Linked DNA regions of Xenopus tropicalis. The protein of the gene in region 2 interacts with the protein of the main gene of each other region in a biochemical or structural test. Links are inferred from orthologs where the notes say so. Each region holds a gene or a part of one and is shown on either strand. Other genes may lie near its edges.

Region 1 (16,106 bases), on a different chromosome or scaffold from region 2:
CTACCCAATCTCTTCTGCTACCTACCTGTAAAATATATCAAACACTTTTATATAGAAGGGAAAGGAAAACAAAAAAACATAGTTGCAGAGAAGGTAGATGTCTATTCTCTTCCGACACAGCCTAGTGCACCAAGACCAATATAATAGGAAGCAGAAGTTCAAGAGTCAGAAGGGCAAGTCATCAGTCCAGGGAGGGTAAGTATAAAGTGTTGCACAAGTAATTGTAACTTGCAACAACCAATCAGCAGATAGCATTACTGGTCACCTGTTTGGAAGCAAATATCGGATTACAATGGGTTACTAAACCTGGCAGAAATGACTTTCTATTACATTACCATCCAAAAATTCTGATTTAGTTGGAACCTTGTTTGGTCAGGTCTATTCATCAACAGGAATTGGAAGCAGCGGTGCAGAAAAAAAAGATATGGAGAGACATAAAGTCAATAACAGTTATATTTAGGGTAGAGATCCCCTTTCAGTTAAAATGACTGAGCTGTTTAACTATTCCAAAATATTAAAGAAATCTCATGGATCATCCAGGTGCGCCAATATAGGCAGGAATGTAATTTATAGCGAGCCATAGCTCCGACCTGTCCACCCATGAATAATATTCCCATTCATAGTCTGACACACTCACATCAGTCAAATGAGCCCCAATCATATGAACGGAGGCCCGAGTGTTTAGTGACCCTGAGGGGGGAAAATGAAAGGCACACTTCCAAATTTTCATACAAAAAAAAAATTTAATAAATATTTACTTTTCAGAATTTATTGCCAACACATCAAAGATGCATTTAAGGTTCATAACACTAATGTCACAAAAAAAACATGGTTTATTCAGGACCTCCATTGCTAACTGTTGTGATAACTAGATTCAGTTTTTGTTGCATACATCAATATAGCGGTAGCGCTAAGAACACCTACTGTAGCAGAGGGGTAGTCACGGCATTGCGCTGCAACACCTTGTACGCTCCGTCACTACTGCAGATGTTACAGAAGAGAATCTATGAGCACTCACTGACCAATTGCTTTAAGCCTATAGCCATTATATCAGCCCTGGGGAGTCACAAATCCTAATACAGACGGTGCCAAAAGGAATATCTATTCAGTTTACAACTAGTGGTTTTTGTTCTTATCTTTCTTTAATGGTTTGTAATTCAGTCAATCGTTATATGGAGATTTCTGGGGAAAAAATGATTTATATTTATATTAAAGCATGATTCCTAATGCCATAGGAAAACTTTGTTGTTCATAACGTATGCCAATATTAGGCAATGCCTAAATGCCTGCCCTACTATTGATTTACTACAGCCACCATTATCCATAAGTGCACACACTTTCATTCCAGATTTACAGCTGCCAATCTGAATCATATCTTTTCTTTTCACTGTGACCGTCAGCAATATCATGTTATGGGTCTATAGTAGTGTCGGGCATCCCAGGAACCACTCTTATAACAATTAGACAGATGCTATAGGAGGTTAAATAAGCTTATGGTGGGAATAATGGGCTCCACTTGTACTCAAAGTCCCTCCCCCAAAAATAAAGACTCCACTGGGACAAACATAATGATTATAGGCAAAATAAACTTGGCTTTTTTTTTTTTTAATATCACAAACTTTTATTGTTTTTGGTCATAGATTTTCTTTCTATTGAAGTTAAGGCAGGCAGTGTAACGTATAGGAAAGCAACAGTGATCACTCGACATTCTACTGTTCAAGTATTCAACCTCTAGCTTAACAGAATACTCCCCTAGTTTCAGTAGATTATAAAAAAAAAAGAACAAAATCATATCTACAAGTGGTTCTGTAGTTACATTTTCATTGTGGAAAAAGAATTTACAAACAAAAAAAAAACGAGATTACTGCGCCTCCACTTCCGCCAATTTGATTTCCATTGTCGTTGTCTCCTTACATGCACCGCCGCGTCCGTTCCCTCGCACCGCGTTGCAGCAGAATATCTGCCAGTCGCTCTGTTTTGTCCTTTTTTTTTGTTTTTTGTTTTTATATCAAAGCCGAAAGCAGCAAATATTGTTCTAAAGTCGAACTCTCGAAAAAAAAAACAGTTTGAGTCGGAACTTACAAAAAAATAGTTTAAGTGATACTATATAAAGGTGTTCTTTAACATTGTACAAAAACAGCATCGAGGCGTGTCAGCCCGTCCTATTGTTAAAAAATAAACTATTTTTTTAAAAAAAAAACACCTTAAATTTTGGCATATACGTAACACGGAACAAGAAATAAGTTCTGGGGGAAAAAAAAAAAAGCCGGAAGCTTACAAAGCTATCAAAAAACCAGTCAATTCTAAACATGTACATATAAATAAAAAGGAATGATATTTAAGGCTCTTGATTATTAAGTTAATAAATCAAATATACACAGTGATTAATAAAAAAAAATATTTACAGGTCTATACAAAAAAAAGGGAAAAAAAAAAAAAGATTGAAATTTCTTCATTTGACCAGCATCAGCTGACAGTCCCACCCGCCCCTCCCCCCCTGACACAATAACAATAAAAAAATAAATAATAAACTTAAATTTGTGATAGTTGCTGTGGTTCTGAGCTGCAAAGGCACTTTCAAATACAGAACTAGTTCTACGTCACCATAAAAACCGAATGTACGAATGTTTAAAAAACAAAAAGCTACATCTAAAATAAATATAAATTAAAAAAAGTGATGATTCTAAGATGGCGTTGCTATGGGGAAGGAGAAGAACTGAACGGAGAGATAGGAGCCGAACGCCGAAGGCTTTTAGCGTTTTCGCGGCGTTCCGGCTGCAGCTGAATTGACATCAGGGCACTTTTGGACTAGTTTTGCATAGATGTGAAATGCAGCACTTGGTATTCCAGCCAACCACAGCAACTATCATTGCCAGTGTAAGCCAGCTTGTCAAAACTTAAATTAACATAGGGATTCTAAGTAAATAATAGCCTTAGACTCAAATATTACACAACAGTTTAAGAACTAGTGAAGCTAAGCCCTCGGGAGCAGTCACAAGCTCTGCATGGCAGCGCTACATTCTGCTATACGATGTATTCCATCCGATTTAGGCTCTGTGCTGTTTCTAAGTCTCTGTTGTCTTGTTTATTTGTCCAGTTTGGCTGTTTGCTAGGAGTGCTGTTGGGCGGCTTTTCGTCTCTGTCGACCAGCGTGTACGCCGGCTGCTTGACGTATCGGGGCTTTTGCTGGTGCTTGTCCATGTCGTCCTCCTCCACCTCTGAATTGTGTGTCCTTATTTTTGCAATTTTGGAGTTTTTGTTTTCGTAGTCTTTGATCGGCACAGTGTTGGCCCCGTGTTTCTCGATGGGGTTCTTGATCTGGTTGAGCTGCTCCCGCACGTTGTTGGTGGTATTGTCTTCCGACGCCGTGTGAGAATGGCTGCTTTGCTTTCTGCGCTTCCGAATGCACCAGTAGAAAGCGGTCACCAGGCAGCAGACCCAGGCCACGGTTAGAATGGAGCTCAATAATGGAACCAGGAAATCTACGAGAGATCGGGAAAAAATGTTAATGCTGATGAAATCACTGCAGATTAAATGGGTAGTTAACCTTTTATAATGATGTAAAGCAGGGGTCCCCAACCTTTCTTACTCATGAGCCACAGTCAAATGTAAAAAGACTTGGGGAGCAACACAAGCACTATAAAAGTTCATGGAGGAGCCAAATAAGGGCTGTGATTGGCTATTAGGCAGCCTCTATGCACCTCTATCAGCTTACAGGGGCTTTATTTGGTAGGAAATCTTGTTTTTATTCAACCAAAACTTGCCCCCAAGTCAGGAATTCAAAAATAATTACCTGGTTTGGGGGCACTGAGAGCAACATCCAAGGGGTTGGTGAGCAATATGTTGCCCCTCAGTCACTGGTTGGGGATCACTGATGTAGAGTGCTAATCTGAGATTTCAACTTTTTTTTTTTTTTATTGTAATTTTAAAAATGAATGAGCTTTTGGTTCAGCTGCTCTCCAGTTTGGAATTTCAGCAGATATTTGGTTGCTAGGGTCCAATTTAACATAACAACCAGGTAGTGGTTTGAAAGAGAAATAAAATAAAATTGTAGCCTCGCAGAGCATCGGTTTCATGGTTGCTTGGGTCAGTGACCCTCATTTGATAGCTGTAAACTATAAAATAATAAAAAAGGAAGACCAACTGAAAAGTTGCCATGAACAGGTCGTTCTAAAATATACTAAAAGTTAATGTGAAGGTGAACAACCCCTTTATGGATGCTGACAGCCTCTTTGGGGAGTCTGGTAAAGCCTTTACTATTTAGCCATTCAGCTGCAATGCTACCTAGAAGGCTGGAATATTCCCCTCCTGCTGACCTTGGATGCAGATTTGTCTCAATCTATTCCCATAGTTAGAGTATGTGCCATAAACCTACAGGGTAGGTGCGAAAGACATTCCTCACAATCTCCTCAATGAATGAAAGTTGCACGGCCTAAGGAATGACGTTAAGCAGAAGATTTCTGCTGGATAAATAAAGGCCATGAAACTGGAAACCCTCAGGGATTATTTCTTTACTGTTTTATTATTCGCTAACTGGATATTCCGAGGTATAAACTCTGCTTGCAATAGGCTACAAGTGTAATGGGTGGAAACACTGCTATTGGCCAACCACCAGGTGAGTTATGCTTGGGTTTGGCCTAGGATGCACAGCCATATTGTGCAAGTGGTTGGGAGATCATCCAATATATCATCAATGTTCCAGGACCAGATATTTAAGTACCCTGGTGGGGGCATAAAAAATACAACAAAGGGCCACAGTTGGTCCATGGATCTACCCTATATTATTATTAACTGGCTTCTCATGAAATGAAAATTCCCTTCTAAACTGTTTTGTAGCACCACCGTGCCATTTCTAAGTAACTATTGCAGCAATTAGAGGATTTCCACATCTACTAAGCATCAGAAACAGCTGGCCAGTGACCTAGAATCTACAGACACTTGCCTCGTATGTGCATTGTTTTTATATAGGGGTTCTATGAAAGGGTAAGTTTTGTAACAGGTGACAAGTAAATGCTACCTGCTGATTAGTTGCTATGGGTTACTATGGGGCAAACTTAGTGCCTTTTATTACATAACCCTAATGATGTTAACTTAAATATACATTCATTGCAACTCACCTGTGCCGTTTTTGGCTTGTCGCCTCTGGACTCGAACTTCTGCCACTGAAGCAATGAAAGTGTTGTTGGCATCTCGCTTGCTAACAAGATCAATGATTCGTTCGGTGATGTCTTTAACTGGATTCCTGCCGTCTCCATTTTCCTCCACAGACTAAAAACCAAAGAAAAGATATATTAACAACCCAGGCCTGATGGATATCCCTTCCTATTGCTGCATTTAGCCTGGAGCATAACAAAGCTATGCTACTGCTGTATATGTCGAGTGTCTCATGATGGCTGATCATGCACATTTATAGCTCAAGGAAAATTGTAGTTATCTTGCAGGATTTCAGCTCTATAGGCTGGGAGAGAAGCAGCCCGAGCACTAACTCTGGCCAGCACTGTGCAGCAGAAGCTGTTTGCTTAGTGACTCTGCTGCAGCTATATTTAATGCAGGATATGTTCCATGAACGTTACTCACTATAGCCACATGGATCTCGTTGTTTGCTGATGGAGAAAGTTCACAGGTAATGTAGATGGAATATTCAGCGGAAACATTCTTCAAAATGTTGAGATTCCTCAGTTCATTGCAAATGCTCTCGGTAGTGAGTCCCTGATAATGCAAAACACAATAAAGCCATCACTTAACTGGATAAACAGGATCATTCTGCAGAACAGAATAGCATTGGAAGGATATGCCATTCCCATAATAAAAGATGTTGACTCGGCCCCTCCAGACTAAGTCTCTAGCTTATTGGCCCTTGTATGTTGCCCCTGCAATGGAACGTCTGACTGATATCTGTCCAAAAAAAGTCACCTGCCTTGAAACATTGGTACAGTCCGCTACTGAAGGGTCACCCTAACCCTCATAATCCAGTTGTGGTTCATGGGACCAATTTGGGATCATCACATTGCTGGCTAAACCAGGAAAATACTGAGGTTGCCAAAGGAGCCAATGTTCATACAGTGCCAGACTGTTACATACATAGGTAGAGTTTGCCTTTAATAAGCCAAATACTCAGCCAATATGTAGTGGTTTAGGTGACAAAGGGAAAATGAGAGCCTGAATAAGGGAAAGGGCAAAACATGGGCCTATTCCCTTCCCAGCAACCCATGAGAAACAATAAAAAAGCCTTCAGAATTACAGCCGAGCATTATTCAAAGGACTGTGTCGCTAGACACAACGGCTGGAATTTCCTCTGAGCATTGTCTATGGGAAAAAATAATGTATTGGCGAATATCTTCCCTAAAGCCGTTAAGGAATATGCTTGTGACTATTAAACCCTGGTTTTCCCATAGACACGGCTTTAAAAGCATTCCAGGAGTTTTGTCTGGCAGCATTGTTTCTACAGCAGTCAGAAGGGCAAATGACTGCGTGATGTGATTCTCAGCTAAGAGCCAACCAGGGACTGGGATGGATGTTGTTTGTAACCTGCCCCATGATTCGCCGCAACACATGATCTATTTGCATTGTTCGTGGATGTGTGGTTTCATACTGAATGGGTCAAGTAGCTGCTGGGAACTGCAAGCTGGAGTTTTTCCCTCCAACTGATGCCTCTCAGCTTTGGCAACAACAATAACAGATAAAACATTCAAATCATTGCTTTTGATAGTTTGACTTACCGGTGACATCATCTCCTTATTAAATGTAAAGGTGATGTTGGCACAGCTGGCATCCTGATAGCTGGCATTAGCGTTACACTTAGTCTTGACAGGCGGCTGATTGGTCGGCCAGCATTCACCCACCCCAGTGCAAGGGGGAACAAAGCAATGGTTGTCTCTTATTGGAACACAAGTCTGCCCAGCAGGGCATTCGCTGCTGCCGTGTATATCACAACGCTGAGGGCCACACCACACCTAGATATAGACATAACACAGGAGTTTAACACTCTAAGCTTTGATTGATGGATACAGACATTTACAAGGCAGAGCATAATTGCTTCACAGAGTACTTACTGCTAATCAGTATACATACATTATGGCCCAGATATTCCTACCATGGAACTACGATCACTAAATCATGCACAGTATTTGTGGTTGTTTTATTGGATTTATTTTAGATATAATATATGCAGAAAATTAATTCCTAAATCAGTATTGTTAGGTTTGGGGATAAAGGGCTTTTACACATGACCCCTGCTCTTATATCTGTAAGCAGCAAGACAAAGGCAAATACATTAGGGAACACTCACGTACCTTTGAGCATGTCACTTTGCCGTTCAGACACTGGCAGGAGTTGCAGTCATCATCCCATTTGGCCCCGTCTGGCATCATATGGCCATTAGTTATACAAGGCCTTCCTGTAACTGCACAAATGGTCGTGTTAGTATATGGCAATACCATCATTACCAGAGCAGGGCACAAACTGGTTATTTGGTAGCAGAGAGGGGGAGAAACACATTGTTTTTCATTACCTTCTTGGCACCTTGGACCACTACGGCCAGGCGGGCAGGTACAACGGTAGCCATTGATTTCATCTATGCAAGTAGCTCCAAAAGCACAGGGTGAAGATTGGCACTCATTGATATCTATAAACAAACAAAATAATCATTATAGAAACCTGTTTAACTAATGAAAAGTGCCTAAAATATCCTTACGGCTTATTGGCTGTATCAGAAGTTTGCAAAGGGGAAATATGAGAACCTTCCCTATTCAGAAAGGAGATTTCCGAGTTGTAATAAATAGCTAAAATAAAAGTTGCATGGTTAGCAACAGGTTTTTATAACCCACAACCAATGAGAAGGCATCATTTACAGATTACCTGTTTTTTAAGCAGAGGTTGCTATAAGTTATATGCTGCAAACCACTTTATTACTGTTTATTAATAACTTTTTCTGCCTGTTAGCAACTATTTAAATTCATTTAGTTAAGACGTTTCCTTTGACTCAAGGCCCCATGAAGGTTAAAGGAAGTTTCAAAACAAAGGGCAATCTGCCCAAGCCTTTTATTAGGATACTTACTTATCCGACAGTCGGGACCAGCAAATCCAGGAGCACATTCACATCGGTACCAGTTGTCTCCATCAACGCATGTCCCACTGTTATAGCTACGGAAGTGAAAGGAAGGGGAGGTATTAGACTTTTATCCTATAAGGCAAGGCCTCATTGCACCACAATACAGCTGACATGTCTAATCTGCTGCCCTCCAGCTGCTGGCCCACAACTCCCAGCAAAGCCAAGATGAAAGTTGTAGTTTCACATAGACTGAACAGCTTTACAGGATATCATATACTATCATTTATATTCTGTTAGCACATTAAGGTGAACACACACTGTGTGTGTATGTAAGAGGGTCTGTGCTTGTTAATTAATGGAATGCTTGGGGGCAATGGCTTTTGCACTTCATTCTTATGTCATATTATAAATTGTAGTCACAGGAGAACCATTTCCTGGCTATTAAACAAAATCCACTCCCCACTGGAGCAGATATTCCTAGGGATAGGATCATTTACTCATAAGCCTATCAGTGAGCGGTGGCTTATGGGTAATTTGTAAAGCAGGTGGAAACACTTAAGAGCCGAATAAAGCAAGTCTGACCCGTTCCCATGTCATCTGTTTAGAAAATGTGTCTAAACTGCTCTGCTTCTTAAAGTCTCATATTAGAGCTACAATTAGGATCTACATTACTTAAGCGCCTTGGAGTTTTGATTCCCAGCCTAACAAAGTGCTTGAGCCATGCATTGTCGCTATAGGTGAGCTGGGGTGTCTGATCTAGAAAGCAGCCTGGTACGAGGCTGACAGTTAATTTGTCCAGTTCTACTTACCATGGGTGAGGGCTGCAATCATTAGTATCTAGAATAGAAAAGAAATACAATTTAGGTGACTTTCTGCAGGAAGAAAATACTTCATTCTGTTATTAAATTCAGCTTAATCCCCCTCATTCCCCCCAGAAAGGATTGTTCCATTCTCCGGCAGACAGTGAGTGAAAGCAGGCAAGTTGTTGCCTTAAAGAATGTAGGAAAACACAGGACAACATCTGTCTCCAGTTACTTCATTTGCAACTTTCCCATGCCCAGGTCAAACCCTCTGTTCCATATTGTTATTTATAGAGAGAAGAAAGGGCTCCAGGTGATGCTGACGTGCACCCCTATTGTCTCCCAGTTTCAGGTTAAGGTATCGATACGAGGCAGGAGGGGGTTAAGTGCACTACCTATTTCCGAGGGAAACTTAAAGCAAACTTACTCTGGGAGCATGTTGGTCCTTCCCAGCCTTCTTTGCAAACACAAGTGAAAGAGTCCCCACGGACGACGCAAGTTCCACCGTTAAAGCAGGGATTTGGCAAACAGCTGCTGTTCCTTGCTAGGAGGAATACATTGCAAAACAAGCATGAAAGCCGAGCAGAGAAAAGCCAAGCAATGAAAGAAAGCAGGATGTTTTCCCCCCTTTATACATATATCATTTCTGCCCTGTGCCTGCGGTCGTAGGTAAATAAACATAGAGCCCAAACCGAGGCCCAGTTATAAAAAAAAAAAAACCCCGAACTGTCTCATATATTATAATATGGAACTCTCAGTAACTTGGCTGTCATTATTTAACCTGCAATTAATCGTGAAAGCAAGCTGCTGATTGGCTGCACAGGTCATGCCTGAATCCCTCTAGCTGCTGTGTACTATATCTCCCAGCAGCCACAGGGCCATGACCTTTATACCAGGCACTTTATATATAACAATATATGATAACATATTAGAAGTCACTCAGAGCTTGGTTCCTTTATATGCTCATGTTACTCCTCAGCAACCTTTTCATTTACAATTTCTTTAATAATACCCAATTATATTTCCTATATAATAAAGGCCAATAGACTGGTTACAAACTAGAATAATCAGTTCTTACCAATATTACATGTCGCTCCTTCCCATCCAGCAGGGCAAATACATTTAAAGGTATCTCCCTCATCATAGCAGGTCCCACCGTTGTTGCACGTGGCTTCATCGCACTGACTGTCTCCTGAAAAGAAAAATACCTCTCCGATGAATATCAGACATTTCAACATAAAATATCACACTATAAACAGCAGATAAGAAATCCACACTTACGGGAGTGGCAGGTTTTTCCTTTCCAGCCATTCTTGCATTCGCAGTAGAAATCATTAACCAAGTCCCGACAAGTCCCTCCATTGTAGCAAGGGTTTTTACTGCAGTCATTAATGTCTGAAAGAAAATAAACAGAACATTACACGGTGAGATAGAAATGCTGGCAAGGAACAGATGAGGTGTGAGTTCTGGGTTACCCATAGGGGCTTTATCAATTACTTACTGAAGTCAGAACACTCAGTGAAAACATTGGGTTGTAGCCCAGCAACATTTGGGGACTCTAGGGTGTTTACATGCCAATAACATGTCTCATTCTTAACACTACATTTAAGGGTACAAGCTCCGTTCTTGCTCACAAAGGGAGAAAAAGGACTCACTTGTTTCGCAGTAAATTCCTTCCCATCCGTCGCTACAAATACATTTGTATGAGTTCACGCCATCAATGCAGGTACCTCCATTTTTACATGGGTTGCTTTCACAGTCGTTAATATCTGCAATGGAGAACAAAACCTTGTATAAGTGCTTGTACTAAGTGCTTGTTAATTGAATGACTGTGTGCTTGGTTCTGCAGCCAGGTCTATGTATGTTCATTCATCAAGATGCATATTTAGTTTGACTAAAGGTGGCCATAGACAGCTAGACTTCAGATCCTGATTCAGATCCTTCAGACTGATTGGCAGCCCTCAGTCAGACGGTTCATAAAGCCACCATTTTAATTTGATCATTTGGCACCCATTATTGCCCAACTTAGGTGGGCATATCTGGAGAACAGGTTACCAAAAAAGCGGATCTTACAGTGTATGACCACCTTAAGTCTCAGTCTTGGCCAATATAAATTCCAGTCCTGTGTGTGTAGGTAATTAAATTAAATATTGCATTTTAGCCCCATCCCAGCAGGAAAGCCCAAAGCAGAGAAAAGCTGGTACGGCTCATGGAATTCCAATGGTTTCTAATAATGCAGCTCTGATTCTTACTTTCATGACAGTAAGTGCCAGTGAAGCCCTTGTTGCACTCGCAGGTGAATTTTCCTCCGGATTGACTCCTACATTTTCCATGGGGGCCACAGACATTCGAGGAAATGTACCGTACGCCTTCTGGGGTGCTGTTGGAAGCGACGGCCACTGTACAGCTGTCAATCACTGGAGGAAAACAAGGCAAAGGCCCATCAGTAAGAAAAAGATAAGCGCTGCAGGCTGATGCTTCTATGAGATGGCACTGGGATCAGGTAACCTACTCAGCTTCGGCCAAGCTTACAGCTGGGACACAGCCAAGAGTGTTTAGCTCTGTTTACCCACACGAGACTTCTACAATCAGAGCTGCAGTCCTCTATTCAGCAGTGGTTTTATGGCAAATGAGTTTGCAAGGCTAACACTATGCTAGGCTTGCACTTTAGAATGGCTATTCTTGCCTTGCAAGTGATATGCAAAGGCAACAATTGTGGGCTGTTATGGGTATTTTGACACTGTTTTTTTAAACACTGCTGTGTGTGTCACAGAGCTATGAAATACTGTTGACAAAACTTACTGCAGTAGTAGTGGCACATTCACCAGGGCCCTGAAGTGTAATAGATACCAGGTCCCTACTTTTGAATGTCCTACACTTTATGAGGGTATAGTGGACATAAAGCAACATGAATGTGCAGGGAAGTTATCAGAGGGAGCTGCCATACCTTTTGCTTGGACTGACAATAAAAACAGGACCACTAGATGTTGCTTAATATGTCACAGCCCCAACTCATAAGTAAAAATGTAAATTTTCAAAAAGGAGGAATATGCTGCACATGGAATAAACTTCACCATAGACTGCCCGTTTGTTGACAGATAATCCCTGTGCTTATATAGAGAGTACACTTTGCCTTTAATATCTTACTTGATCTCTCTGCCTGTTCTGGGAACTAACAATATTCATTTGTTTGCCTGACAAACCTACTTCCTATCTCAGAAATGTGACACTGATGCAAAGACAACTCGGCGGGATCGTAATTCAATCCCCCTGTCATAAAATTGGCAGTTAAGAGCCGGAGAATTAAAGCAATTTCTCGCTTTTTTTTTTTTTTTAATAAAGCACCCGTTTAACGTAACCACCTGGACACTGGCAGAACTAGGAGCATCAGAAGGAAAAAATACATCCTTATGTCTGCGTTTAAAGGGCAGAAACATGGTTGGTTCGAATTTTCTTTTTTATAGATAATGTAAAAGTGAAGTGAAGGCTGCTGCCATGCAGACGAACAGAAGGAAGGGGTTAAATGCATCCAATCAATAGCTTGACCTGTGGTCCCTTACTCTAACAACAGTCCCTGCCTTGCTGAATGTTAATGGTGAAGGGCACGGCACAGCTGGATTTTATTATCGCAGTGTGTGGTTCCCAATCACTTTGCATGATGACTGCCTTACTCAGCAGTGAAAGTTTCTGTTTTCGAGACAAACAAAGCGGGGTGTACGCACCTTCACATGGGGTAGTGCGGCAATGATCCTTTAAGTGGGAACAATTCTTGCCCTCGTAGTCTTCTGAGCAGTTGCAGAAGTAATCGGTAGCCAAATTAAAGCACTGGGCTCCATTCTGGCAAGGGTCCGGCTCACAGTAATCTATGTCCAACTGTAAATGTTGAAGGGGAAGCAGAAGGAAACAAAGGTTTTATTATTACCCTATTCAGTGCTTAAGAGAGCAGACACTGTGGAATCTGACCTTTCCATCTAGCTGCCTCCATTAATTTTACTTAAAGCAGAATGTACAGTGTCCTTAGCCTGGATCCAAGTGGATTGAGGATATAAAACAGCTACAAGAGCCAACAGCGAGCGTACAAGAAAAGTGAACACGCAAACATTTGTGATCTGTTTAACTGAATAGATCCGATTTCTCCTACCCCCTCCCAAAAAACACATTATTGGCAGACAGCTGTATGGGGTATGACTTTATAGCAAGGCTCGCTGAACATAAGGTATTTAGTGTACAAATCATTAGCAGTAAGAAGGAGGGGCCCTTGCTAGACATGAGCCATGTTATCTGGGGGGTTGCCATTTTAGCCGGACTCACCTGACAGAGGTTTCCCGAGAAACCAGCGGGACACAGGCATTGGAATCCATTGATTTCATCCTGACAGTGGCCCCCATTCAGGCAGGGATTGCTCACACATTCATTGACATCTTTCTCACAGCGTTCCCCTGCATAGCCGGGTGGACAGATACAGCGAAACCCATTAACCAAGTCCTGTAATGACAAAGTAGGAAACAATCACAAAACATGGCTTTCAGAGACACCAACAACAATAAGCATTGTGCTGGAGAAGGACAGTCCGGACAGCAGCACAAAACCATGTCACAGCTGTACATCACACTCCCGCCGGGTGATTAGAAGTGGTCAGAAAACAAAAAACTTACCCTGCAGGTTCCGCCGTTTTGACACTGGCCAAGGCAATCATTAATATCTAAACGAGGGAGGAAGAAAGAAACGAAAGCATATAAATATAGATGTCAAGGAAGGCGAGAGGCTGCACAGTGAAATGCATTCTGCACTTGAGTGATGCTGAAAGAATTTTAATCAGAATGGCTGGGTACAGATAGAGCTTTTGTTACGTTTCCTGCATCCTTTCCTTGAGATAACGTTGTTAGAATGGGTGGGAAGCCTAAGCTTTTCTCCAGTGCTCTTGCCTCAACTTCACAGCATTGTTTTATTTTTGTTATCAGAATAGGACCATAGGACAAGCGATAAAGCATTATATCGTCTTTCCAAACAGACAACACCCCACTTTTTGGGGGGAGAAATTATAACTAGTTTATAAATAGTGTTTATTTTTCTTAAATTTAAAGTGTGAGGGTGCAGTGCATTGTGTGCACCGGACGTTCCTTCCCAGCATGTATGCAATAAACGCCCATTGCCGTACTATTTGCTTGGCTGAGTCATTCCCCAATCTATGCCTACTAAAAAAATATATGTATAAAGGCTGAACATTCCTTAAAAACCAACAAATGGAACAGGAAATTGCAGAAAAGAAGTAAAGAGGACTTACTTATGTCACAATTCTGACCCGTCCATCCAGGAAGGCAATTGCAATAGTAGCTACCAATCAGGTTTCTGCAGGAGTTGGCATTTACGCAAGGTTTGGCTTCACACTCATTGGCATCTTAAAAAAAATGAAACAAATTTTTATAGAAATTTGAAAGGGTCCAAATGTAAATGTGCATATGGTATTTAGTTCTTTGTGGCTACCCAGTTTATACAGAATATGCTATATATAAATGCACACACCAAGCATTGGGGTCCCATATCCAAACTATATTGTTGCTAAAATCCTAGACATTGTCATTTCCAGGCTTCATGGAAAGCCAGACAGCCATGTTTGTCCCACCAGTACTGGATGCCCTGGGACTGGTTACAAATTAACCGTGAAGAGACTAGTAACTTTTTACTTGTGGGGCTGTTAATCTTTTACCCTTATGGGGGGAACCGTGTTATATTTTACCACCACGACTTATAAGGTTGCAGAGGTCAATAAGAGTGTTACAAGTTTGACCAGCAATAATTATTAGCCAGTGCTACGTCAATAACACTGGGTGGGCCTTTTATTATTTTACTATGCCCCCCCCCACTCCATTACAAGTAACCCAGCAGTGATGCTAATACAGACCTCCTATTTCATTTACTAGTAGCTGGTCACCCACTCATTAAGAACAGTAAGAGGCAATTGACCATTTCAGTGGAGAACTTCCTCTGCTATTGTCAGCCAGATTAGAGCGCTCCATAAAGAATGCAGACAGCTCATTCTTCATGAGATCATCTACATTTCGGAACCCAGCTGTAAACTGCTCGGTCTGTGGGAGTTGACACGGCTGAAAAGATACAGCGATTTTCCCACAGGACCAAGCCGAGGAGAACATAGGCTCATGGTGGAATGCTTTTCCAGAGCCTGATTAAGTTTAAGTGTTTCTCATATACTAGTTTGTTTATGGTTTAGCTGTTAATCTAATCCTCTAAGTGCCAGAGGCCTCCTGACAGCAAAATCTTTTTTCTAAACAGAAATCACAAAAGATTGGTAAGAAGGGCCTTTAGAAAATTCTACACATTTATGCTTCTATTTTTTTCTTCTCCTTACGGCAACTATTTAAAGCTTTATTTTCCTTGTAGCGAGTAACTAGGCAGATATAGATTTCTCCTTTATTAAATATAACTAATCCCTATGCTGTATCAAATTTCATGGAGCAGAGACATACATTAACAAATATAAGTATCAATTTTACTGGATTCGTGGAGCTCGGCACTGTAAGAGTCAACCTCTGTGTTTGTTGCGGAGTAATTTGAAGCACCACATCCAAAATCTACACATTTTGGATTAGATAACAGAAGGCATTGTGGGTTATAGCACTGCTGATTGGATTAAAAAAAATTACCAATTTGGCACGTTTTGCCCGTCCACTGAGAAGGACAAATGCATTTAAAGCCATCGACCAAGTCCTGACAGGTACCGCCGTAGCCACACGGATTGGGAGAACATTCGTCAATATCTAAAAAGAGAAGGTCTAGGTTAGAAGAGACTGGTACTGGTGGGAGACAGCCGCCAGCGTTCCCATGAAGCAATACGTACTGATGCTGCATGTGGGGCCCGTCCAGCCTCGAGCACATTGACATTCAAAGCCCACAGATGTTTCTAAGCAACTTCCCCCATTGTGGCAGGGATCAGAAAGGCAGGCATGTTCAGCTGAATTAAACAAAAACAAATAACTTTTAATTATTCAACGTTCAGGAATGTCGCTAACAAAAAGGGACGACGGGGAGGGGGGGGAAAAATTCTTTTACTGCTGCTTCTACTCAGTAACTAGACCACCTTGCCCTGGAAGATGTGACCAGCACTAATTCTTCGATATCTTATTCTTATTAACAGTTCTTGCTTTAACAGAACTTCAAACAAGGAGGAAATAATCTTTCATGCTAAGCTGACCTGATCAATGTGCCATAGCTTAGACCAACTTGAGTCTCAGCCAGGA
Region 2 (16,606 bases):
ATTAGTAAGACTCTATTATTCACTTTGACAAGGCATGTCTATTTGGACACCTACTGTCAACCTTAATAAACCCATAAGTGGCTAAGGATGTTTAAGGTAAAAGCAATTAAACCACACAAAACTGTCTATAAGCATCTGTATAGCAATAAAGGTGTATTTATAAGTTTATCAAGCTACATATGCACTTTGTAAAACAGAAAGGGTCCTTAATGGTGGCTGTTGCAAAATACTATCTGCAGGCCCCCATTATTTGTTATTCAAGCAGCTGCTCTCCAGCCATTTCTGAGCTATTCCTCCCCGTATCCATATGTTGCCTTCATCTGTCTGTGGGTGCTAGAACAGAGTCCACAATGGATAGTCCTAGTACACAGTGTTACTGACACCAAATCCTAATCCTACATATGACAAACTATAGATGAAGTCCCTTCCCATAACAGTGATAAATCAGACCTGCCCTCAGAGCTGCCTAGGTTCCAAAGAAGGACTTTAATCCTCTAACTTCTACCCTAATTTTTACAGTCAGCCATAAAGGCATCACTAATAAATCACTACAGTAACAACAATACAGTCAACACAACATTCAAAAATAAATCATTTCTGCTGCATTTCACTTACATTTGCCACTTTTTGATATTACTTTTGCCCACAAATACTCAGCATTGCTATATATTTATTTGACAGTAGTACAGAAATTGCCCATGTATAGAGTACAGCTAACCCACTGGGCGCCAAAGGTTTGCAGTGAACAGACTTTAACATAAAAAAAAGGTGATCTTTGAACTAATAGATTTATTTTGCAACACGGCCGAGTACCAATCTCTCTTTTACTCTTGGCTGCAGTGGCCCAGCACACAAACCCCTACAGGCCTATTTCTTTTGATTGACACTGCTGAATACAGCATTGAGCTATAACACAGGTGTAAGGGACAGAGAGGACAGAAAGGTCTGTGTTAACACACACTATGGTCATTTTTATCATGAACTAATAAGGCTGCAGGTAGGTGTTTGTGGTGTTGAAGAAAACACATGCAAGCACAGGGAGAACATACAAATTCCTGGCAGATAACACTTGAATATAGCCCTTACTATCCCCCCTTATGGGGTTTAAGCATACACTATAACTTGTTAAAGCCTGTAGCCTCCCGTATCCCTTGTGTATAGCTTTCTCTTGTGAGAATATTAAAAACACCCAAAGGAACAAGCAGCTAGCCTGTCAATCAAATAACAGCTCATCTTGACAAGGTTCCATTTACTTAAGATCTCGTTATATAGCGTTCTTGCACTATTGGTAGGTGTTGACATAAAAAGCCAATTACCCAATGTGCGGATGTGATCACAACCAAGGAAGTCACGTGATACAGATCGACAGAAGCTGGAGATGACTTGATTAACTAGGAAATGATAAAGCTTCGGAAACCATAGAGAAAATGACTCAAAAGAGTGAAATTTACAAAGCCACAAAGTCTGACGCACTTCACATATGACTTTCACCACACAACCCACATAACGCTGGGATATTCAGATCTCACTCGAACCAAAGTGAAATTGCCAGGAGATTATGGCAGGCACATTTATATAATATCTAATTGATGGTTTACAAGGCCTATATGAAATCCTGCAGCCATCAGTTGATAATAAAACCTCAAGTGACCCTCAGATTACTAATTATAGTAGCACAGAACCTTCTAGAGGCAGCCATGTTGAAATGTGAAAGCATCTGGGAGATCACTGGGAAATGAATAATGAGCCTTGCTCTAGAGAATTTAAGGAATTTTCAGCTAATCATTACATACATTTGTTCGGATGACTTTACTGTTTGTATATGTTCTAACCGAGATGGATCCTAAATCTAAACAACCCAAACATCAGTATCTCCTATGCAACAGTGCATTACATTATAGCAGAAAAGTGGGAAAGCACCCTTACAATACATTCTAATTTAACATCAATGATTTGCCAAGGGCTTCAAAGAAAGTATGCAGATGCCCCTTCCCTCTAAAGGAGTCACCATGTTTTATTAGGTGCATAAAGAAAGAAAGTCTCGACTTTAGGGACCCTTGAAAGCTATGGGCTGAGAGTTTATATAAAGAGCTCAATATGTTATTATCTAACCTTATAAGTCAACTGAACATTACAATGGTGTTGAGAGAATTCCCTTGAGTTATCCCTTTAATCAATAACCTCTCAGCTATCAAGTCTTCCAAAATCAACGATACCAGCAGATTTCAATCTAGAAATTCCGCCGCACAATTTCATTCAAAAGCAAAGTTTGCTTTATGTTATACTCGTCATTTGTTTGCAAATTCAGTTGAACAGTTTAACAAAATATTTGTCTTAAAAATTACTGTCATTCCTTAGAGAAAAATCTCTGCTTGTAGTGACGCAGAGAAGGGGATTAGCATGGGACTGCCCCGGGGTCCATCCCCAACAGCCGTTACAAAGAGGGCTAAAACATAATAACCTCCTGTTACTCATCGTGCTTCTGTACAGGTATGGGACCTGTTCTCCAGGTTCCAGAAAAATCATTTATACATTATATACATTATTGCCTCCAATAAGGATTAATTACAGCTTAGTTGGGATCAAGTAAAAGGTATTGTTTTATTTTTACAGAAAAAAATGTGATAATTTAGAATTGCTTATATGAGTCTATGGGAGATGGCTTTTCTGTTACTTTCTGGATAAGGGGTTTCCGGATAACAGATCCCATACCTGTACAGACATTAAAAACCTATTATTTGCCAGTTTGCCAGTACTTCATCTCCAAGTACCTCCCTTGATTCATGGCCATAACCTGTTCAATGTTGTTGGACAAATTGGTCAGTTTTGAATTCAAAATCAATCAATATGGGATAAAACAAATTCAATTTAGACATGCTTGCCCTTGTCTTCCAAATGGCTATCCACTGATTGGCCAGGCGGGCACAGGTTTCCACCAGAAGGCTGCTGGCTTGTCAGTGCCATGTGGCTGCACAGTAATTACCATCAAGTACTTTCTAGAAATGGAATCAAAATGTTTCAATAGAATGGCTCTACTCTACCATACACATGTAATATAGTGCAAAAGGGTAAAAAATGACCCCCTTCAGGAAAGCAAATGAGGCAAAATTACCATATTATAGCACTGGTTTGTCTTGTGGGATGAAATTATTTTTCCCTTAAGTTTCCCTTTAAAGAATATTTTCTAAGAGCCTGTTTCTCAGTATGACTCACTATATCCTACCCTGCCCCGGCCAAGCATTACACCATTTCATTATTCTACTGTTGAGAGAAATCCAGTTTATAGTTCACTTCTTATGAGAACTTTGCCGACTATCAAACCCCCTCTAAACAGCTTAACTCAATCCTCGTTGCTTTGAGAGTAAAGCCTTCTTAAGTCTGTCATGTGATGGAATTTATTCAGTCTTTTTTTTCTTAACCAGCAAGTAATGACACTTTATTACATGACATGATAGCTCACAGGGATTAATGTTTGCCTTGTCTTGTAGACTTAAAATATGGCACTAATACGGAGAACCACCCCAATACACAAAAGCATGTCGGATGCATTAGCCATATGAGCTTATTCCTACATAAAGGCTCATTACATATTATCCACTAAGGGCACTATTCATTGACATCTATAGAGACATAAGCAGTGTATGCCATCCCAACACATGGATACAAACTATATACAGCAAATAATTTACACCCTTTTGTCAAATTTTACAAGAGGGGTTACACAATTTTGTGTTCTTATATATATATAGCAGGGCAAATATGGCTTATTGTAATACCCCATAGCTACCAGTCCAAAATCTAATTATACTATACTGCTAGTCAATATACTATATATAAATATATTTGTGCTGATTAAGCCTCAACATATCCAAGTTCTTTTAGTTATCTAGACCTTTCTACCTTTCTGTTCATGTAACTGTCAACACAGACTCTCAACCCCAAAAACTATCTATCAAAGCAGCACTTATAAGCGGACGACTGCACAAAAGCTTCCGAGAGACAGACATATTGGATTCTGACCTTTGCCAGCAGTCAGGAGATCACTGGAAAGCGTATAATAATCTCTGTACTGGAGAATTTAAGGGATGCATTTGTTCTGCATACATTTGTTCTAATGACTTTTTGTATGTGTCCCACATCCCAAACCCAAATTTGTATTAGACTGATCTTATTACAAAAATATTCTGGCTGCACCTACCAAAAGCTACTAATTATTCTTTATTTCAACATGAGCCCAGACATCAAAAAAACAGTTTGCTGTGTGCAGCCCTCTGGGGATAGAGAGAGACACGCTCCCGAGAAAGCTCAGTTCTGTTAGCCACCAAGGAAACTCATTTAGTTGATGTTCCATGAATGTAGCAGTGACAAGTGCTGAGCCAAGAAAATCCACCCTCATCCCAACATTTAGTTCACACATGTTCTGGATCTTTTCACTACAGTACAATGATACTTCTAGTAAAAGTAAAGCTTGTATCAGACTTGTTGAGAGAGACACTTAAGGGCTTATTTACTAAAGCAGGGCAAATATGGCTTGCTGTAATACCCCATAGCAACCAGTCCAAAATCTAATTTTGTCATACTGCTACTCTGTTACAAGCAAACTGCCAATTGGTTGTTATGGGTTACTGCAGCTTGCCACCTGTTAATAAATGAGCCCTAGATGGTTCAATACTCTGCCATATTCTTATTCTAAACATGTCCTACAAGGCAAATGTATTAGATTTTATTTCTAAATCTCAAACATATTCTGAAATGCTGTTTATAGGCATAACAAAAAAATAGGCTTATATTCCAAGGTAAGTTGCAACATGGTGACCAGAAACTCCTCATTTTTTATGAATACCTAGAAACAATGGGGTCAACATATGCAAAAAGTTTCCAAGGAATTATGTTTAAAGGTGCAGTCATCCATTTAGGTATGTGCCCAATCTAGGATTTAGCTCAATCCTAGCATATTTAGCAGGATTCAGAGTTGTTCAGACAAAGGATATCTGAACCTTTTAATCATGTGAATTGAAATATCTGGAACTGAATGCAAGAAGTTTTTGTTGATGGAATCTTTTTTTTGCAAATTTAAAAAAGCAAATGGTTATTTGTGCAAATCTTTTGCCGCCATGAATCCAAATAAATGACTGATTCAGTGCATGTCTAGTTCCATTTTGATTCTTTTTTTCTTAAGTCTCTGTAGGATGTAGAGCAGTGATCCCAACCGGTGGCTCACAAGGGACATGTTGATTGCCACACTTTAATACTGCAGTCGATCCTATATATAGAGGCTTATTCAAATTTGTGAATTTTAGAGTTTTAATTTCAATTCAAATGAAAGTTATAATCAGCTTGAATTCATGTGTTTTAGCTCAAAAAAATCGAACCAAAAATTCAAATTTGAGCATTGCTGCCCCTTGTGTGGAAGCATGTTTTGGAGGCATAAGGTTAGTGCCACACCAGGCAGATTCACACAGGCAGAGAATGTGCCCCTACATCCCTAACTGCTTTCTGGAGCCACTGCATCGGCCTGGGTGCAAGCACACGGAGTGGATTTAGTTGTGGAAACTTTTTTGCCACTAAGTCCACTCTATGTGCCAACACAGTGGCTCCAGGTGCAGGCACGAGTGTAGAGGCAGATTGGCCCCCTGTGTTTATCCCCAGACTTTGGCAGGCTGGCAGTCCACATGGAGCTAACAAATAGCCAATGTGGGCTTCTGTTCCAAAACACAATTTTAATACCTTATTTGCTCAAAAAAATCTTTCAGAAACACATGCATTCTGAAAGATTCATTTTTTCAGCCAAAAAACCTTTTTTTTCATAATAAAATTTCTAAGCAATATCTAAGCAATTTTTTAATGCACATCAACCAATAAGATGTTTGTTTTTAATTAGGGTACCAGTAAATGCTTCCTGCTGATTGGTTGCTATGGGTTGCTGCTCATGTGCAAACCCCATTAGGGTTATGTGAAACCACTGTAGTAGTGCCATTGTGGAAATATATCATGACATTTTCCTTATACAGCATATACATTTCCAGTAAGAAGAGATGTTATTGCCTCTTATCTTTCTGCATGATGGAAAGTATTATACAGGGTGCAAATAGTGCTATGTGTGTAGGAAACTGCACCTTATCCACGCTTATTAAGGAAATCCTTCCTTCAGCATAACTTTGTCCATCAGCGAGTAATTTGTTTTTCTTGGTCATTGTGCTCCGGATGCAATAACTGCACCCTGTGAACCCACGTCTCCTACTGCTAATATTCAGCGTTGTCTCAAACTGCTTGTTAAACAAAAATTGCTCCCAAATTAATCAGGCCTGTGGGACTTCACTTGGACTTGGGGGTGCAGGTTCCAGAATGGCAAAAATTGTCATAGGATGCTGGCAAGTATAGTTCTCCTATGGCTGTCTCTTGGACATAGCCAAAGGTTATCAGGATGCCTCCTATTCAACGAAGGACCACAGAAACGGGCAGAATTTTATATTGCACCCAAAAAATGAATGATACTAATGTATTTCCATGTGCATAGCTGTTATTGAACCCCAACTCCCAGAGTACCCAGTAGCATTAGATGTTTGTGGAAGCCTAATGTTTAAGTTGTTACTTTTAGTTTCCATAGCACTTTTATATAATTCATGTTATAAATATTCAACTTTTGGAGGGAACAATCCAATTGGCTGGCACACTGACTGCAGCCATGAAAGCCATTAGGCCGTAAAGTAGTAGAAGCAAACATTCCTGAGCAGAACGCATAAACACGAAACTGCTCAAAGAGGAACTACAGCCCATCATACAAACTCCACATTGTGCAAACGCACAGAAAATGGCTCCTTTGTCTTCCCCCAAATGTCCCACCCAAGAAGGCACTTTTTGACAGCCCTGTCTGTTTCTCGGCCCTTACATTAAAGGCAAGAGTTCTGATGAAATGGCAGCGGTCAGAAAGAAAATAAAACTGCGTCTTCCTTTCATTGCCTATGCCTCGGTAACGAGAACAAGAATACAATTCACAGCTCGGCACTGTATCTCGTTTACTGGAAATGTGTCATTCTTCTTCTCATCTGGTCTGTGCCTCTTCCTCTTCCTCCTCTAATTATTCATATTTATTCATATGCTGCAAATAACCATGCAAGGGGACTCAGCGTTTAGAGATTCAGACATCCAATACCTGAGTCTTGTTCAAACAAATAACTACATGATAAAGTGCCAAAAAGCAATGGTGGTAGCACAGTAGTAATGGGGGGTATAGAGGTTGCAGCAATACTGTTTCTTGGGAGAGCCATTAGACTGAATATTTAGTCCCATATGTGGGATTCCCATGGCAATATTTAATATCACTTCTACCCTTGCAATCTGCCTCTTTGGTGCTCCAATTGTTACTAAACTACAATTCCCAGAATGCTTATTAATAATAATATTGGGACGTATTTCTAATCAAGCCATAATATCACTTCTGACTGGCTATAGCATCCTCTCTTTCCCCTGCCAGCTCTTTGTAACTAAAGGCTTTATGAAATATATGGATATTTGATAACATTATTTTTCCTACAGCCTTCTAATTTCCTTCTGTATGGATACATTGTATTAATACAAAGTCAACAATTTCTGCAGCCCATGACAAAGGCACACTCACCTGGAAACTTCCCCCAGTCTGTGACTAGTACAGATAAAAATCTAGTGGCCAAGCCAGGATCTGTGCTTTTCAATCCCTTTAACATTAAGCAGACTTATTTGGTGTCATTTTGACAGGCGACATTTCCCCTCTGATTGATGACCCTAAATTACACACGTCTCAGTGCAGTGTTTGTAGGGACGGGTGCCTGTCGGTAGTCACACATAAATAAATCTAGCTCTGCAGGGAAGCATTCCTGATTAGTTATACCAGTGCTGGTACTCCAGATGTTACTGGTCTACAATCCCCAACATCTCATCAACAGCCAAGGGCTGACAGGGGGGTCTGAGGGTTTTAGTTCACAAACATCTATAAGGCCACAAGTTGGCCTGTTGTAACTCTGATACTGCCTTGCGATCTCTGCAACTAGCAACAACCACTGCAGCTTTTCCTTGTCCAGACTAAATTCCACAGAGGTTGCCAGGGTGCCAGTCCAAAATCCACACAGCCCTATCAGAGCTTCCATAAGAACAACACAATGATTGGCAATGTTCCTGTGGCCCTCCAGCCGGTTCTAACTGAATTGTCAGGGATGCTGTCGATTGCATATTAAAACAGCTGGGGGGCCACATATCAACAGATACAAACTAAGGAACCCCCCAGCTAGACTGCACAGTAGAGATACCCCAAAGGATCCTTCAGGCTACCATGGTACATATGAGGATGCCAGACAGCGGCAAAATAGCCTCTTGTGAACAAATTACAAAAAGAACCTTATTAATCCCTGAATGCTCAGTCCCAAGAGTTTACAATCCACCAGAACAGCTCTTTTTTAACTAAAAAATACACATATTTCCCATTTCTAACATTAGAACCATCAGCCAGTCACCCTCTCGCTGTTTACTGACCTTCAGGTCACAGTCTGAGGATGCTGGGAGTTGTAGTTCGCTCCTACAAGGATACAGGCGGGACATAACTATTCTGCGCATAAAGTAATTGAAGTTGCGAGCTCAAATTCAAGATTTCAGAGAATTCTGGGAGTTGTAGTTTATAAGGTTGTAGAGCCAAGCAGAGCGCATAGTATACAGGAGCGGACAGAATGGAGGGACGGTCGGTGTAACTATAGGGAAATACATGGCCCACACAGATTCCTCTCATCTCTAGGCTCCGACTCACCGACTCACTGGCACACGTGTCCCCGACCCTTGGGCATGTGGCACTGCTGCCCGGGGAGTCCCTAACAGCAAGCTGTAAAGCTGCTATGTACTTAGCTAGACACTGGCCAGTAGCCACAGAGCCCTGAGTGCCTACCGTACTAGTGCTGACAGGCTGCCCCATCCCGTAAGAGCCAGGTATTGGCCACAAGCCCCCGGGCACCCACTACTGACTCACCGTCACAGCCCGGCATCCCCAGCAGCAGGACACACAGCCCCAGCACATACTGCGCCCCCATCTCCTCTCCAGATCCGCATAGGAACCAGCAGCCAACGGGGTTAGAAATTCCAACAAAATCCCCAATCCGATCTCAGAATGCTTTGCCCATAGGAGCCATTAGACTTGCGGCTCACTGGTACTCGGCCGCCGCTGCGATCATCAGTAATTCCAGTAGGTCCAGGATGCTCCCAGCAAGGTCAGTGCAATGAGAAGCCTCCGCCGCTCTCCCCAAACCCCCTGAGCCGCTCAGTGCGCTTCTGGCTACAGCAGGCTGCGCTGCCTTCTCTGCCCCCTCCCTTCTCAAGAAGAAGAAGATGAAACTTGGGCGCCCTCAGAAGTTTTGTCCCATAAAAAGTCGCCTATCCAGAGCGCTTCCGTGCCGCAGCAGCTGCTAGTCGGAGACGCAGGAGATCGCCCACGGGTAGTATAATAATCCACAGGCTATAATGGGCACAGGCAGAACAGCAGCAGCAGCAGAGCCAGAGCAGCGCTGGGACTGAGCTGAACTTTACTCGCTCAGGGCTGAGGGGGAGGGGGAGGAGCGAGGGGCGGGCCCACGGGAGGAGGCAGATGTGCAGACTCTTTCCTGCTGCTGCTGCTGCTGCTGCAACTTCTCAGGCGCATTTCATACACTTCTAACTCATACAGACAGATTGCACTGGCAAGCTAATGGCTTTGCCCCACAACCAGACTGCCTAATCTGACTAGTAATAGGGAAAACCAGTCAAAATCCATTCTAGGAATGACCAGATGTCTAGAGATATCTATATATAATTAACAGTGTTCAGAACTCACACTCACCAACAATACTTTTAGGGCTCTGGCACACGGGGAGATTAGTCGCCCGCGACAAAACTCCCTGTTCGCGGGCGACTAATCTCACCAGTGGGATGGCACACGCGGTGGCGCGATTTCGGCAAATCGCCGAAGTTGCCTCGCGAGGCTTGTTCGTCGATTTCCCGAAATCGTGCCGCCACGTGTGCCATCCCACCGGCGACTTACACTTTCGCCGGTGGGATGGCAGGTGATGGCAACTCGGGGAGATTTGTCGCGGATGACTAATCTCCCCATGTGCCAGAGCCCTAAGGCTAAGGGTGATGATACACTGAGCTACTAGTAGTAGCTACTTGTTGTTGCTACCAAAATAGACAATGCTGATCATTTACTGGTAATTGCCTCTATTTGTGTTTTAGCAGTGGCAATTCACATTATTGTCTATGGCAGGGTATATTCTGGAGTTTAGTAGCTGTGAAAAAGTAGCTACTACTAGTAGCTCAGTGTGTCTTGTTTTGTCTCTCAATAAAGAACAATAAACAATATGAATCTCCAGTACCTGAACTGACGATACTGCTTCCAAATCACATATCGCTCCGAATCACTATGAGAGCCTTTTTTGAGCGATGTTACAAAGAAAGCATTGCCATTTAAAACTAATGGAATCACTCAAAGGAAAACCCATTGGGCGGGAAGTCGCTGCGATTGTTTGCAAATTTCCCCATTGGAAACACTGGCAATTATGAAGCACCGACTTGAGGGAAATAGAATTGATCCCTTGTTGAAATCTCTTCTCTTTGGGAAATCGTAGCAACGCATACTCCATCCCACTGGCAATTTACATTGTTGCCGGTGGGATGTAATTGCGAGATTAGTTGCCTGCGGTAATAAAGATTTGTCGCGGGGCAAGATGAGCAACTTGTCCCTGGAACTTGCTTTTTAAAAATTGCAGCGACTAATCTCCCTGTGGGACATTTAAGTGTAGAACCCAAAAGGATTGTTTTTACCAGGGACGCAGCAAATACATAATTCTGCATAGTAGATTCTCATGAACAAGAAAAATGTGCTGGAATTCAACCAAATGTGACTCTTATATAACATAGTAGCCAGAGGGGTAACCCTATGTGTCATGCACCCCCAAAACCACCACATACCTCGCTGGGATTATTTGTATCCTGAAGGCATATAAACAATAGTTAGGCCCAGAGATTAAGCTAGCACAGATTTCCCTTGTATATTTGGTTTTTTCATTTTCTTCTGCTGATTATTTGTAATACCCACATGTTCACAGGCTGGAGCCCATTAAATAGATGAAGTCATACAAAACTTATATAGAGTGGATGGCTAGACTGGATACTATTAAACTCAGTTTAGTATATGCACCTAAGGCAGTTCCGCCACACAGACCCATGGCTGATGTCTAGGGCCTTTTCATAAGTGATAGGTAGATACCCAGGCAAAACCATGCCAGTGGTGCCCAGGGGGTCTATTGTAACCTATTAGCAGACCATAAGTTGGTGACTAGGACAACACAACAATAGCAGGTTGCACACAAACACAAATAATTCAGCGATCAGCAATTACTTTTCTTGTCAAATATTTTTTTTTTCTCATCATCATGATGCATCATATTCAAATCCTAATTGGCATTATTATGTCATAAACATCTGCGGAGCAGCTGGACAGAATGGGGCCATTAATCAACTGTCTTTTACAGGCCAGATCTAAAGACTGTCTCATATTCTCTCATGTGCTAATATATAAGCATATTCAGAAGCACACCACACGTGATTATGTCCTCCAGCCTGCAACACCCTCTGGTTATGTGCTCCCTGCTTCTGTTGGATGGTTTGTTTTTGTTACTGCTTCTTTCTGTACAGAAGTACAAACAGACTTCTAAGAAGAACACTAATGTTGCAAGCAGTCAGTTCATAGCAAGGGAAGCCCTGCTAATTTTAGGTGAATTAGAGACAGAACTAAAAGGATTCATGAAAGATGAGGATTAAGGTAATGCCGGCCAGGCAAATGGGAATTAGTATTTGTGTGTCTGGCCGGCATTATATTAAATCCTAATGGTGATGAAAAACGGATACAGTGAGGTGTCAGGCTACATCTCCTTCCTATAGCTGTTTTCTTAGCATGGGCGTATTTCATTTACTCTACAGCCTTAAAGCAAAATCCTGATTTAAGCAGGATATCATTAATGCATTGTCGGGGGGGGGGGGGGGGGGGGGGTGATGCAGTCCTTATATCAAGTCTACAACCCCATAGCAATTTAGCAGCAGAATGTAAGGGTCACTTTTGTGAAATCAAACATTTAATTAGTTGCTATAAATCACTAGGCCTGTTGAAAACTTTTATTAATTCACCCTAAAAGTGACATTATTTCCACTGCACTGCCCAGTAAGCATATATACTGTATAAATATATATATATATATACACAAAATATCTATCTAAATATATATATATATATCCAGCACAAATATAAAGCACTCACGGCTTTAGTGTCCAAAAAATCAGTTATTTATTTAAGCATACTATCTACGCATTTCAATCCACTCAGGATCGTCATCAGGAGTCATTTGGGTTAGCACCCAGCCATTGCCTCTGGATTGGTGAGTGCCGATTTTTGCAAAGTTATATATATATATATATATAGGAGAATAGAAGACCAGCACTCCACATTCTGTAAATAGGGATTATATTTTTCACCATCGTGCTGCAAATTCCAACTTTTTGGTCCCATTGGGGGACCTTTATCAAGGTTCCGACACCCAAGGCCAAGGTTGATCGAAAGAACGTGGTATAAAGGGGTCAGGTAGAGGCAAAGTCAAAAGGTTAGAGTCAAAACCAGTAAAACAGAGACAGCAAGGCTTAGCAAGGTTCTGGGAGTCACAGAACCACACCGCAAGGCAGTGCTATTTATATTTGATGTGATGTCCACACTTCCGCTGACCCATATACTGGGGCTGGAATAGAACTCAGTACCAGGTGCTGCAAGGCAGTGGCGTTAAGTTAACATATTTTATGAGGAATATGTTTTAGAGCTCCTTCAGGTTTATTAAGGGCAGCTTTGTCAGTTGAGTTCATTTATTTTCAATTACCAGTGTTACCTCTGTTGTACAAATCCGATGAGTGTTCGGTTGCAGTTGATGGGGAGTATTGTCCATGAATGAAAGTGGTAGAAACTCTGTAGGAGGCCCAGTCTGAAAGTCTGATTTACTATTTATTTACTTTCTTGTATATCCCCAGAAGTATAGAATGGCTTTTCTGACCTTGTTTCCATAAATTTGTTATCTTATTAAGAGCTAAGGGGCAGGGATCAAATGTCAAAACCCCAAACGTAGGAGCCCAAAAAAATTATTAAGACTTCTGGCTTGTGAATGAGTTCATGTTTTAGGTTTACTTTGTCTGCATGAAGCTGGGCGACAAGGGGATCTTACATAGTCCTGGGGGACTTAGCTGCTGGTGTTTAAACCATGGAACCTTTTGCAGCAGCATGGCATATATAGACTTTTGAGTAATGTAATAAAACTGGCACTAGGATTACTCAACCCATAACAATCAATCAGATGTTTGCTTTCAGACAGCTGACTCTTGTTTGCTATGGGTTACTAGATCTGGCGATACATTTATCCTCACCATTAATTCAGTTTTTGGTTGCTAGTTTACTGACTTTAACTTTAAATTCAGCGACACAGAGGGGCAGAGAACAATGGTAAATTATTTGATAGCACAAAAAAAAACAAGGGGACGTTCATAATTTGCAAAAAAAAAAGGCCACAATCATCAATTTTTTTGTATTTTGCCCACTGTTTGCCCACTTTGTGCTGAGAGGAACAACCCTGGGGGCATAAGTGCTCTTAAATGGGCACTAAGCGTTGTGCTCTTATGCCACCCTGGGTTGTAAATGACCCCTATAGTTTTCCATAAACAAGATGCAGGCTACTTTTACCCTGTCCCTATAACAAAATACATTTGGTTATGACCCTAATCCAACCAAAACACTGCCCTCCAGTTAGCAGAGTTTTCAGGGAAAGGAAAATGCTTTGTGCTCCCCTTCAGCTCACAGTGCCGGAAGGCAAGGTACAGTTAATACATTCTTAGTCCTAGAAAATGCACACATGACATTGCATGGATGAACCAAATGAATAATGGTCTCTTGTAAAAAAAATTGTTATGAACAATGTGAGATTCTCTCTACTACAAAGAATAAAATCATGGTGTTGGCTTCTGGGACGGAAATAGTACAAACTATATAAAATAACAAAGTTAGTATAACAAAAAAAGGTACTAGGAGATAGGCCCAGTATATACAGCGCTCTTTAGCTTAAGCATTAAAATGAGTGTGATAGTATGGAGTATGGTAGTATGGTGTATGGATGGTATGAATCTGAATCTCTTTTTCAGTTTGTATATGTACAAGTGTAATAATTAGGCCCCTTGTGCCATACTAAACAATTCAAGACTCTGTTCTTTGGGGCCCATATCATATACCCAGATGGCTGCCCTTGCTTCAGGGGACCCCCAATGGGATCTTTGCCATGGGACCACCTGTCTCTGTCAGGGGTAATGTAATAAAGAAAGCAAAATTTGCGCCAGGTCAAGTAACCTAATGCAACATTTATGACTTATTGGTGATAAGGCTGGTGATGGGTTATAGGGCTAAAGCTAGGTCTAATAAAACACTTTGTATTTTGGGAATTTGGTACACCTCCTAGACAATTTAGGATTTAGTAATGAAATGATTTTATTTGATCCTTTAAACTGGAAGCAAAGCATCATACAATATGGCACTCACTTTTAATCAAGTGGATAAAGCAGTGACAATAAGGCTTATGCCACAGGGGGCTGATTATCAGCTCCTACACTGGAATCAGCCTTTCCCTGTGTCTGCACCTGGAGCCAATACCTTGGCCTGCATGAAGTCACACGGAGAGGTATGCATTTGGGCTCCAAAACCCACTCCATGTGCCGGCACCAAGGCCAATGCAATGGCTCAGGGTGCAGGCACATGTCCAGCGTTGGAGCTGATTCTTGGCCTGTGTTTATCCGCAGACTGAGATTTAGCTTGTGTGGCATTAGCCTAACAGGAATGTCTGCTAATTTGCATAATGCTGTGGACACTTAGATAACATCAATATATGGATATAAATAATTAGATAGCATCAATATATGGGTATAAATATAGGTGATATTACTGGCTAAAGCTAATGCCAAGCTATGGAGAAAAATGGTGGCTTAAAGAGGAAGTGATTTGGTTGGACTTCACCTGCCCATATGCAATATAAAGAGGAGGCCATTATTTCAGCCTTCTAGGGGTCTCTAGGATATCCTATCTGCATTAAGGGATCAATAAAGAAATGGGTTGGCAGTCATAGTTCACACCATTTTGAACTACTACTCATTGTGTGAATGCCAGCCATCTGAAAAGAACTAGTCATTAATCAGTATGACCAGTCTGCATGCCTCTGAAGCACGCTTGGCAAAGGACACTCAGTTCAACCACACCCAAAGGCTACAGTCCTGCCAGGAACGATCTACAGATCTTTATAGGCATGCGTCTGTTTATATTACCTCGTGCAATGTAGCAGGGTGAAACAAAATGTAAAAGTAAATCAAAGGAAATGGGTCATAAGTTTAAGCAGGTATAAATACAAATGTATTGTAAGTTAAAGCAGGTATAAAAACAAATGTGTCAAAAGTTTAAGTTGGTATAAATACAAATGTATTATAAATTAAGGAGATTACTTTAATAAGAAAGCAGCAGTTAGATTCTGGAACTGCACCATAATATTTACCAATATAGCATAAATAAACAGATTATTGAAAACTACAATATAATTCTGCATTTTCTGCTTGGATGAACTGTATTTCTTCCATCATGTTTTATAGTACAGGTATGAGACCTGAATGCTCACATGGGGTTTTCTGGATAAGAGATCTGTAATTTGGACCACCATACTTAAAGTCTGAAATAAAATTTAAGTTTAAAATAACTAGGATTGTTTTGCCTCCAATAAGGATTAATTATATTTAAGTACAAGGTGCTGTTTTATTACAATAAAGGAAAAAGTAATATCTTTTAAAAATTTAATTATTTGATTAAAATGAAGTCCATGGGAAATGGTCTTCCCATAATTTGGAGCTTCTTGGATAAAGAGTTTCTGGATAAAGGATTTCTTCTGTTATTTGTGTTGGGAAGTACAGTCTGACACTGCATGCTCACAAGTATTAACAGATATATATTATGTCTAGGCTGGGGGCTTCCTATAGTATAGGGGATATGGGACTTGATAAAAGGCCTAGAGTTTGTAAGCAGATTAATTTTCCTTTTTTGGGGAAATTTTGTTTTACAAATAAATAAGCATAAATGCAGAAGCGTTCATGGTCTGTATGTCTGGGTGTGAAATGGTTAAACAGAGACTGCAAACAAACAGCACCACTACTATTATACATATAACGGCAAGTACTGTGAACTCTCCATGAACCGCCATGGCACACAGACCATGGGCAAGGGCAGGGATGAAAACTGGAGCCAATTTCTGCAGCCAGTCTCCTGGATATTAATATCAGGCTCATTAAAGCCATAATTATGCAATTTCCCTCTTCTGTTTTCTTCCAGATCCTCCAACTTTCAGTGGCTTGGGTCCTCAGACATCTTGAGTAAAAGGAGACAGATTGGTACAGAGCCCCGAGGTGGCAGATTTTTGGAAGGTGTGTACTCCCTGCAGAGGTAGTGCTGAATAGGTGCAAGGAATCTGCGTGCAAGTCGTGGCAGGCTGTGGAGACAAGTCAA

Evidence for each region.
Region 1: the proteins of notch2 (region 2) and jag1 form a complex in vitro, tested with the Homo sapiens proteins (2 studies listed by BioGRID). The link is inferred for Xenopus tropicalis from reciprocal best matches to the Homo sapiens genes NOTCH2 and JAG1.

The regions. Positions count from the first base shown.
Region 1 is NC_030681.2:26,869,829-26,885,934, forward strand, and holds the end of jag1 (protein jagged-1), read right to left. Parts: intron 15,821-16,106; coding exon 15,707-15,820; intron 15,627-15,706; coding exon 15,513-15,626; intron 14,249-15,512; coding exon 14,135-14,248; intron 13,553-14,134; coding exon 13,506-13,552; intron 13,336-13,505; coding exon 13,162-13,335; intron 12,724-13,161; coding exon 12,573-12,723; intron 11,268-12,572; coding exon 11,103-11,267; intron 10,620-11,102; coding exon 10,506-10,619; intron 10,246-10,505; coding exon 10,132-10,245; intron 10,043-10,131; coding exon 9,929-10,042; intron 9,395-9,928; coding exon 9,278-9,394; intron 8,888-9,277; coding exon 8,860-8,887; intron 8,143-8,859; coding exon 8,057-8,142; intron 7,625-8,056; coding exon 7,511-7,624; intron 7,403-7,510; coding exon 7,293-7,402; intron 6,954-7,292; coding exon 6,720-6,953; intron 5,710-6,719; coding exon 5,578-5,709; intron 5,269-5,577; coding exon 5,118-5,268; intron 3,483-5,117; coding exon 3,025-3,482; 3' UTR 724-3,024; downstream 1-723. UniProt on the Homo sapiens protein: Ligand for multiple Notch receptors and involved in the mediation of Notch signaling. May be involved in cell-fate decisions during hematopoiesis. Seems to be involved in early and late stages of mammalian cardiovascular development.
Region 2 is NC_030680.2:117,933,219-117,949,824, forward strand, and holds the start of notch2 (neurogenic locus notch homolog protein 2), read right to left. Parts: upstream 9,544-16,606; 5' UTR 9,051-9,543; coding exon 8,990-9,050; intron 1-8,989. UniProt on the Homo sapiens protein: Functions as a receptor for membrane-bound ligands Jagged-1 (JAG1), Jagged-2 (JAG2) and Delta-1 (DLL1) to regulate cell-fate determination.